2 linked regions of the Caenorhabditis elegans genome follow. The protein of the gene in region 1 interacts with the protein of each later gene in a pairwise test. Each region holds a gene or a part of one and is shown in the gene's direction. Other genes may lie near its edges.

Region 1 (4,407 bases):
AAATTATTTTAAATTATGATAAACACATTTTCTGAATCTAACAGTCCCATTGAAAAATCTAAAACGATGATAGAAGAATTATAATTTTTCACTTAAACTATTGAATACCTCCGTTTCCACCGCGACCTCCTCCATTTCCTCCACGGCCGCCTCCGTTGTCACCAAATCCTGAAAAGAGTGTATTTTTATTTTTCAACCAGGCTATTCTTTCGAATTTGTGATATTTTTGTAATAATTGCTTAGATTTTAATTTTTGATTTTAAAAGCTTTGAAAGTTTTCAATAACTTGAGGGAAAACTGACCTCCTGTACCACCGCGACCTCCTCCATTTCCTCCACGTCCACCTCCGTTGTCATCAAATCCTGTAAATAGTTTAACAATACATTCTAACATAATCATGCTTTGGAATTTGTGGTATTTTTAAAAAAAGATTGCTTGAAAATTTTTAATTCAAGCAACTTTGAAACTTTCAATAGTTGGATTGAAACCGACCTCCGTTACCACCGCGACCTCCCCCATTTCCTCCACGCAGACCTCCGTTGTCTCCAAATCCACCTAAAAATTGAAATTATTAATTGTTAGTTTGATCTAACACTTCAAAAAAAAAATCAAAAATCAATTATTATACAACAAGAAGAGTTCTTACCGTTTCCACCTCGTCCGCCTCCACGACCACCTCCATTAAATCCACCTGAAATATCAAATTTAAATAAACTGAGAATAAAAATAATAAGTTACCATTTCCATTGAAACCACCACCACCATTGTTCCATCCGTCTGGAATTGAAATTAACTTTATCGATAAACATGAATAGCTCAAATTATCTTTTTTTGTTCAAACAAAATATGTCTTGTTTCTGTAGTTTATAATTTAATATTTCTTGTTATCTTTGATGTGAGCGAGGATAAGAACTGAGTCTTGTATAGGATATAAGGTCCATCAAACACACGATGCACTGTTTGAAGAAGAATATGTTCCGATAAGTAACAAGGAAGTCAATTTTCCTATTTTGATCTGATAAAAATGCCACATACCTATCAAACTTTAGATAAAGAAGGCCAAAGTTTCACAAAAAAAACTCTCACAAAACAGGAACTTACTATTTCCTCCAAATCCACCACGTCCACCGCCATTATTCCATTCTCCTGGGCCACGTGGTCCCGGTCCTCCAGATCCAGGTCCTCCAAATCCAGGCCCACCGAATCCTGGACCCCATTGACCGACGGTGAGCCCAAGAAGGGTAACAAGAAGGAAGATGGTCAATTTGTACATACTAAACATACGAAAATATTGTTTTAAAGTTTAAAAATACTTGTAACAGGTTCAAAACTCAATACACATTAAGGGAAACTGAGAAATAAATGAAAGAACAACTAAAACTTTTTCTCCAAAACTTCCTTTATGTGGTGCCACGCCTCCTGTCTTATCTCGGTCTTTTGAAGGTCGGTCAAGACGACCTAAAAAAGAATTTGACACATAAAGTTACACCGAAACATAATGATGATGATAGAAACAGAATTTCACACGAAAAATTACAAAACTTATGTTTCTTTGATTTTGACTTGATTTTGAAGACAAAGGTCAAATGAGGAGGAATTTGGATAGTTAAAGAAAGATCAAGTTATCACAAGTTATTTTATTGAAAGATTGTCGGGGAAAATATTGAAAATTTTTGAAAAATTTTAAACACTTATTAAAACATCAAAAGAACCGCTGGAAATATGCTCGAAATTTCTATAAAATTTGAACTGACTTTGCTTCAAAAATTCAAAACTGTTATTTGGGCACAAATTGAGCCGATTGGATGATTGAATTTTTAATAATTTTCCTTTATACGTGTTATATTTATGTAAATGATTTCATAAATTTTTATTACTTTAAAAAATATACTCATGATCTACTAAAATAATTTTGATCTACAAAATTCTCCAGCGCTGAGATTTCTTTGTTCTCGCAAAATACTCCTTGATCTAATTATTAATTAAATAGAACAATGATCTAATTGAACTCATTCTTCTCTTTCTTGTTACGATCCAAACGTTTTTCTTCGAGTTTCCTCTCCACGCCGAGTGATGTCCGGACCTGAAGAATTAGAAGCGGGAGCCAGTGATGTAAGTAAAAGAATTTAACTTTTTTTTGAAAAGAGCAATTCAGAGCAACGCCGGTGGATCGTCCCGACAAGGACAAGAGCAAGAACGAGTTGAGCCAGTATTGGAAGGAGTTCCGCAGCCAAATGATCAGGAGAGCGCAGATGAGGTATTGAATGAGTTCTTGTGGGATTCTAAAGATTACCTAGTGCTTTAAAAATTACCACGGTACCTAAATAGTGAAAATGATTTTTTGTTTATTTATACTTTTTCTGAAATCGGAGAAGCAAACGAAATAATAATTTATAACACTTCTGGCTTTCAGTTTTTTAATTGACCGAAGCTGAACGTTTTGTCTTCAGTAAAATTAAACTTTGTGGGTTTAGCTTTTGAGAGGATTTATGTTTCGTAACAAAAAGAACGAGATTCTTTCGATTTTCGGAGAATGTTCTGGAAGTTTTTTATGTCTGCTTTTGATTCATTTTGTGCAATTTTCTAGTTGAAGGTTGATTAGTGGTGAAGTCAGGCTTATTTTTTTTATTTTACAGGATCTCACTGCCAGGCAGCCACCGATTCAACCACAAGTTCCAAACGCATCCGATAACCTGCAAGTTCCACCAAATTTGGAATACTTGATAGCAGTGGTAATACTGATTCTAAAAATATAACAACTTTTCCAAATTTTATTTTTCAGAATCCCAGTCAACTGATCACCACTATTCAAATTGGAGCAGAAGTAGCACGACTAGAAGAATTGGAAGATGAATATCGGCAGGAGCTGGAACTAATTAGAATGACAGAATCACTTGGAGAGGAACTCTTACAAAAAGAAAACGAACTCAGAAGTCGAGCTGGATATCTTGGAAGGCTAGATGTTCTTGAAAATCGGAGAAACTACGAAGACGAGGCTGCCGAAAATTTGGCTATCCGAACTGTGCAAAACCGAGTGCTTCTACTGAGAAGGGCGCGGGCCGAACTGTATGAAAGGGAACGAATCGCCCGAAAAACCTTTATTTGGAGATTGAGAAGATTTAAAAATCCAACAGATCAAAGTGTTAATACTTGGATGGAAACTCTGAATGATCGGTTGAACCGTGTCGCAAATTCCTGGGAAAGACGACGGGAGCCGCATGAACAAGCGATTCGAGACTATGAGCGTTTAGTAGCTACTCGACAACGTACCGAAGAAGATCGTCGCAGGGAACGTGCATCAAATCGGGCCGGTCCTTCGAACCAAGAAGATTACGATTCTGAGGATGAAGATGAACATCATGTCGATGAATTACCAGATCTTCTTGAGCTTCTGAGTCTTGTGGTCAACCCTGTTATAGGTGGCGGAGGAATATCAACTAATCGTGCAGAATATTTAAATCCGCGTGGAACAGAAGGCTTGGGTGCTGATGATCCTGATTTGAACGATAGTGGAGGAACTGTGTATCAGAGTGACGAAGAGGAATCAGAGGATGAAGCAGAGATTGATCATCAGGAAGGTCCATCGAATTGGAGGCCCAAGCGACCACGTCGTGATGATGATGAAGGAGGATCGGGAAGCAGCGCAAGCATGTGGAATGCTCCATCCACATCTTCCCAGGCTCTTGGAAGAAGTTGCTAAAATAATGATGAACTCAAGTTGATACTAATTTATTTTAAATCTTTATTTTATAATCCAGTCTGTTTATTTTTTAATATCAATTTTCTTTGATGTATCTTATTTATTTTATTTCATTTCAGGTAAATATTGATTAAATATTGATTACGACCTTTATTTTCGATAGCAATTTTGACAAAAAACGATAAAAAATGATATGAAATTTTTTGATCTACAATGTACGCATGTTTTAATGTTTTTTGTAACGCGGGAGGGGGTTCCCCTCGAATATTCATAAGACCGTTGTTGTTTGACCTACAATTGTCCCGGAAAAATTACCGGTGTCCTTTTCCGAATATTCTTCCTTTCCCTCGCTATAATCGATTGTTTTGGTCAGTTATATTTTTTTTCTATTTTAATTTGACAATTTTCAGTTTTCCCTCTTTTAACTTCGTTTTAAGTTTTAAACAAAATTTGTAAATTTTCAGATTACATCTCAAATCGCTACTAACTGTAAGAGATGAATGTGTCTGGAGAGTCTGCAGCTGATATCGAAGAGGTAAGATTGAATTTTCCTGTTTCAAAAATTAAATTAAGCATTAACATGAATGTTTAGAAGACAAATGGTGAACCAACTCAAGGAAAAGAACAAGAACAAGATGAGCCAGCGGAAGAGCAAAGTGGACGGCAGTCAAATGCAGAAGATGGTTCAGAAGAGGTATGAACAATTT
Region 2 (5,879 bases), on another chromosome or scaffold:
GTTAAAATCCGTATAACTCGAAAACTGCATTGCGACCTGAATTACCGACAATTTTTATACTAACAAATTGCTACAAATCATTTATTTTACATTGTTTTCGATTTCTCATCCATAAGACACCTTGTCGAAAAAAGTTAGAACAGCCGACATCCGCCGGATTTGCTGCTTTTTTCTACGTTTTTAATTCGAAAAGTGGAAAATGAAATTTTAGAAACAACAAAAACCACAAAAACGTGAACTTTTTGAAAAAATTTGCTGAAATGCATGGTTTTATTTGTAGAAATGAATTCTTTGTTCCGTACTTTTGAAAAAAAACTACGCATAAACTTATAAAATCTTAATAGAGAAAATGTTAGTGGAATATATCATACATATTCTGCAATCTTTAGTTTTCGAGTTATACGGATTTTAACAACTCAAGTGAATCAAAACCGAAAGAGAACAAAATGTCGGTAATTCAGGTCGCGATGCGACCTAGGTCGCTAGGTCGCAGGTCGCAAAGCGACCCAGGTCGCTAGGTCGCAGGTCGCAAAGCGACCCAGGTCGCTAGGTCGCAGGTCGCAATGCGACCTAGGTCGCGATGCGACCTAACCCTCTAGGTCGCAGGTCGACCTAGGTCGACCTATAGCCACCCCTATTAGTGACTCATGCTTCCGGGGGGTGCATGGCTCAGTGCCTATGCGCGCTGCTTGCAATCACAAGGTCACAAGTTCGACCCCCACCTCCTAGGTCCTTCCAGCCTTAAATGGGAATTCAGTGTTCGTTCCACTGTCTTACAGCTTACATACGGCATTTATCCAGGCAAGACCTGTAGAAAAAAACCAAAAAAAAAAAAAAAAAAAAATTTTGCCACGTGGGGCAACCTGGCAGTATTTAATGATTTCATTTTGGTATTGAAACATGAGACAGTCTAGAAAATTAATTGGCAGAAGTTATCGACCACAGTCCTCAAGATTTTCATTTGATCCCACGTGGCAAACTGTTTGAGTTTTCTTCATTTTTTCTTTGTGTCATAATTTGAAATTTTACTTGCCACATTTTCAGACATTTTTCCGTAAAGAAAATTGGCTGCTCACTTGGAAACGCTGAAATTAGTCTAAAAATCGATAATTCAGTATTAATTTTAACTTACTTTACTGAAACATTACTGAAAAATGTATGAAACTGTGAAAAATTAAAGTTTTAAGTTTTAAATCAAAGAAAATATTAAGAAAAATGTCAAAGATCAGGTCAATAATTTGCGCTGGAATTGAAAAATAATTCGGCCCTTTTTTTTTGCAAAATTGAAAAAAATCATAAAATTTCAAAGAAAATGTTCGGAATTTTTTTACAGTTTTATTCGATATTTACATTGAAACTCTATTTTGTCATTAAGGTACAAAAAACCCACAAACGCTACTCCACCTTTAAACTAACAAGTACACGGAACCAAAGATTTTTCCTTATTTTTCTTCTTCTCGTGTTTTATTCAGTGATTATCTTTCCGGTCACCAATATTCCAGAGAATTAACTATCAATATCCGACTTTTTACTCAACTGTTCCTCAAACCTCCAATACTCTTGAAAAACAGCCGGTACCATACAAACGTTTTGTGTTGTTTTGGTAATACCCCTGCCGCATTTTAACTGTGTTTTTGCCGCGCGCATGCATTCCCCTGACCGTTTCCCCACACACTATTTCGCGCTCTCTTTCTCTACCTCTCTCACTCTCTCACTTCTCGCACTCACTCACTCACAGGTCTCCATTCTTGCTTTTTGGTCCCACCGGTTTTCATTAATTCCTCTCTCCCTCATTATTTTCTTTACATTTTTACATTTTTACATTTTGTAATATTTCATTAAGTTTTTTTTGTTGCAGGTATGAGTTCTTCAAAGCTTTCCTCATGTGATCTGCCAAACTCCAGAGGAAACAGAGAAGGTAAGCATTTTTTAAATCAATTTTTTTCTTCAATTTGTAATTTCAGGTCACCGCTCTCATAGTCGAAGCAATTTGGAAAGTGCATCGAAAAATATGGGACACCACATTAGTATTGAAGAATTGTTTTATTCGTTCGTAAAGCAAGACGGTGTTCAGTCAACAAGCCGTGGATATGGTGGCAGATCTCACCACGGATCCGTGTCTTTTAACGGGAATCCTTCCATGAACGGCGACCAGTTGAATCACTCGATTAATCAATCGATGAATGCAGCTCGAGCTAACAGAAACGTCTTCAACTCATCGAGCATTCCTCCAACGGCCCCCGTGTTCTCTGCAGACTTCCGTCAAAACTCGCAGACACGCAATAACTCCAGCTGGAATCAACGGAACTTGTCAGTTTCCACTTATCAGTACAACACTCAGCAGTCAAATACAGGGCACAGTAGAAGCCGTCCGAATGGACAACTTGGCCGAAGCTTCTCGGATGGATCGAACAATCATGGCCATGCTGGGAATGTGTCATTCAGTGGGAGTTCCGTTCCAGCTGGGTTCCAGAAACAAGAAACCAAGGCTTACCAACAACTTCATGGAAATAAAAGCTTCAACGCTCAAGCTGGAGTTCAAGCTCCTGGAGATCACAAGGACAAGAGATATGGAGGCATGTTTGGAAATGAGCTTATCAATTCGATCAATTCTAGTTTTGGCCAACAGCATGATGTCTTCAAGCCGCGGAATTTGAACCAGAGCTTTTCCGGATTTACTATTAATGAAGCTTTAACAAGGAAGCATCATCAAGAAGGATCAAGAAACGATAGAAGAAGATCACATGGGAGCACTAATGTCCAGGATCGTGCTTTCTACAACACAGATGACAATGAACTGTCTGACGACGTGTTCATAGAAGATTCCAATGGTGTTGCAAACGGTCCAAAATCTGTCACTAACAAATCTCAACAACAGTCTCGCGGAACGAAGGATGCTGGCAGTCAAGTGGCGGAGAAACTGAACTCTTCCAGAGGAGCTGCTCAACGTAATCTGAAATCCAATGTGTTCAGCAAGGACGGCACCGAACTTTCTGTGGAACAGTTACTGGAAATTGTCAGCATGAAGATCGGACAACACTTGCACTCAGCTTCCAGTTCTCACGGAGAATGCAGCAATTTGAATCGGACATTACCAGCTAGAAGTGATCTAAATTGCTCAATTGGTGAAGACTTCGACTCCAGTTTTCTGGATGTAAACAATCGAACCCTGCCAGAAAATCTTTCGAAGAAAACTTCAGTGCAGAAACATCGTCGTGGAAGTTCTCGTAGTGCGTCCCGTCTCGCCAGTCTTGACGTGACGCTGGAGACTGTAGAAGAAGATGTCGAACCCACACCAAGTCCACATCCGAGTTCTCCTCCAAAGATCTCAAGAAGAAAGTGGACAGGAACTTTTGATGCCAACGTTGAGGAAATGAGACGTTTACTTCATGGGGACCCTGGGAAGCCGAAATCTACAAAACGTGCTTTCTCAAGGTATGTAGTGATAAAAAGTGAAGTATTTAGTAAAAGTTTGAATTTCAGCAAGGATCAGAGAACACCTTCCTTGTCAATCATCACAAGCCCGAAGGCTTTGATCGGAGAAAAATGTCTGACAGCATCCAACAAGTTAGTTTTACACTTGGAGCTGCTTTTTTCATTATGTTTGTATTGCAGGTCTTCAAAGATTGACAAGTCACTTGGCATGATTGATTCGAAACTCACAAAGTCACCAATGTACTCCGCCACGGTTTCTGGGAAGGAAGCAACTTCAGGAAACCGAATCGCTCGAAAGTTGACTCCAGGGCTTGATGGACTGAAAAGGTATGGAACTACAAAGAACAAACAACATTTTTAAATGTTCTTTTCCAGCTCTCATTGTACCGGAAATCCAGTTTCCATAGATTGTAATGGTTGCCCAACTCCGAAAAGAAGTGGAATCAATTGTGATAATCGTATGGCTGAAGTGAACAACCAAGCCGGGAGATGGTCCTCTGAAGCCACCAGGTAAGGCCCAAATCAATAAATTCGCAATGAGTTTCGTATTATATAAATTTCTGAATTCTCAAAAAATCGTGGATCAAACATATGGAAAATAATGTGCAAGTTGAGTAGATTGAGGTCAAGACTAGACCTCTCGAGTAAAAAAATAGAGCATTAATCTTGCACAACTCCGCAAAAAGCCCTCTGCTTTTGTCTATTGCCCAGAAGGTGTGCGGCAAATTTGTACGGTTTTGCCGAAACAACTTTGCCGAATTAGCCTAATTTGCCGTTTGCCGAGCTCAGACAATTTTGATCAAAGCTATGGATTTTGTCGCCAAAAATTTAGTAGTGCTCGGCAACTTTTGAGATTTTCCACACATCCCTGGAGCCCAGTCTAATCACTTGATATTATAATTACTAAACGGTGAATTGCGAGCCCGCTAATAAATTTAATTTCCTCAGAATATATAAATTTTTGCCGCACAGCTTGATTCGATTTCTGTAACATACTTTCCAAGTACAATTAATTTTTTTTTCAGTCAGCCTGCCCCACTCCCTTGCAAGTCAGCCAACCCGACCGAAGATTCTTCTCAAGATGCACCTCCAACTTCACCACCACCTCGTATTTCTGATAGCTTGACGGCATTCCTGGAAGCTCAACAAGACTTCAATGATTATATTGATGCTCACTACAAAGAGAAGACACAACTCTTGAAAGTGAATTTGAATATTCACGGGATGTCACCTGAAAGATGGCTGTACTTGAATTATTTTTGCACCGAGACAATTCCAAGATTGGATGGTCCTTATGCCGATGGTAAGAAAGATAAGACATATTTAATCTTGAAAAACGTAAATTTTTTCAGATCCAAGGGTTCCACCTGTGCGAAATATATTCAGAAGATGGTTTCTCCGGTTTGCTGAAGCCTGCTTAGGAAATCCAAATGACCTTGCAGTTCAGAAAGATATTGCTCTCGAGTTCGTTCAGGCTCGGCTTGACGATACGAGCAGCTCCACAGATTCCACCAATATGCTCTACATGTTGTGGAAGGAGTGTATCGGACAGAAGAATATCATCTCAATTGCTGATGCGTGTCTCCTTGTATATCTTCGGAAATCGGATCCTGTCAGATACTTGAATGCAAAACGAGAATGGCTGGAATCTATTTTTGACCCACCCAGAGATCAATGATTGTACTGATATATATCTATTTCATGTCGAGTATTTTGTATTTTATTCTTGTTCATTGACCTTTTAACCACTCTTTTTATACTCCAACTTGCTCCTTCTTGTGAATTTATTTATGGTCTGCCCAGGAACTTGTAACGGGTAGTTTTCTATTGTTATCAGGACTGCTGCTCATTCAAAATTCAAAGTTGAATTTCAATAAAGCGAATGTTTGAAATAGGTATATAATTGGCAACTGATTAGTAGAAATATGTCTCTTCTTTGGCTTTTTGTAAAAGTTAGGCAAAAAAGTGGTCACGGATTCAATTTCAAAAGCGATGCTTCAGACTTATCCGCTACGATAGCGAAGGTTCCGTTTGTACTGAAAAACACAGTAGAGGAAATTGGTATAGGCGCGTATAAATAGAATTCTAGTAGTTGACTCTGAAATATAAAAAGTTATTAACAATCCAAATTGGCAATTACTGATTATAAGGATAGGAATGTTAAGTTTTCTTAATACTACTAGATACTACCCTCTACATTTTTATTGATAGGCATGCCTACTTGCCTGCCTAACTTCATTTGAAGGTCTTCTCTTTGAACGTCCACTTGCGCCATTTCCCGCCTTAAACTTGTTGTGTTTTCCTTGGATGGCTATTTGACTAGCGATTTCAGCTTTCAAGAATGAAAACAATGTTAAGTGCTGGCCTTAGATATCCAGTGTTTCCTGTGAAATTTCATTTCAGTGGCAGCATGCCAGACCAAATCCAAAAAAACCAAAGGGGAA

Evidence for each region.
Region 2: the proteins of C50E3.13 (region 1) and meg-4 interact in a two-hybrid assay, tested with the Caenorhabditis elegans proteins (2 studies listed by BioGRID).

What each region holds. Positions count from the first base shown.
Region 1 is NC_003283.11:7,621,819-7,626,225, reverse strand, and holds C50E3.13 (uncharacterized protein), read left to right. Parts: upstream 1-1,973; 5' UTR 1,974-2,073; coding exon 2,074-2,112; intron 2,113-2,155; coding exon 2,156-2,257; intron 2,258-2,636; coding exon 2,637-2,732; intron 2,733-2,782; coding exon 2,783-3,700; 3' UTR 3,701-3,899; downstream 3,900-4,407. Other genes in the region: grsp-4 (Glycine Rich Secreted Protein), read right to left, coding at 109-168, 303-362, 493-555, 647-691, 739-777, 1,102-1,273; C50E3.12 (uncharacterized protein), read left to right, coding at 4,197-4,235, 4,293-4,394.
Region 2 is NC_003284.9:1,681,096-1,686,974, forward strand, and holds meg-4 (J domain-containing protein), read left to right. Parts: upstream 1-1,858; 5' UTR 1,859-1,860; coding exon 1,861-1,918; intron 1,919-1,964; coding exon 1,965-3,435; intron 3,436-3,483; coding exon 3,484-3,567; intron 3,568-3,615; coding exon 3,616-3,762; intron 3,763-3,810; coding exon 3,811-3,945; intron 3,946-4,460; coding exon 4,461-4,738; intron 4,739-4,787; coding exon 4,788-5,113; 3' UTR 5,114-5,324; downstream 5,325-5,879.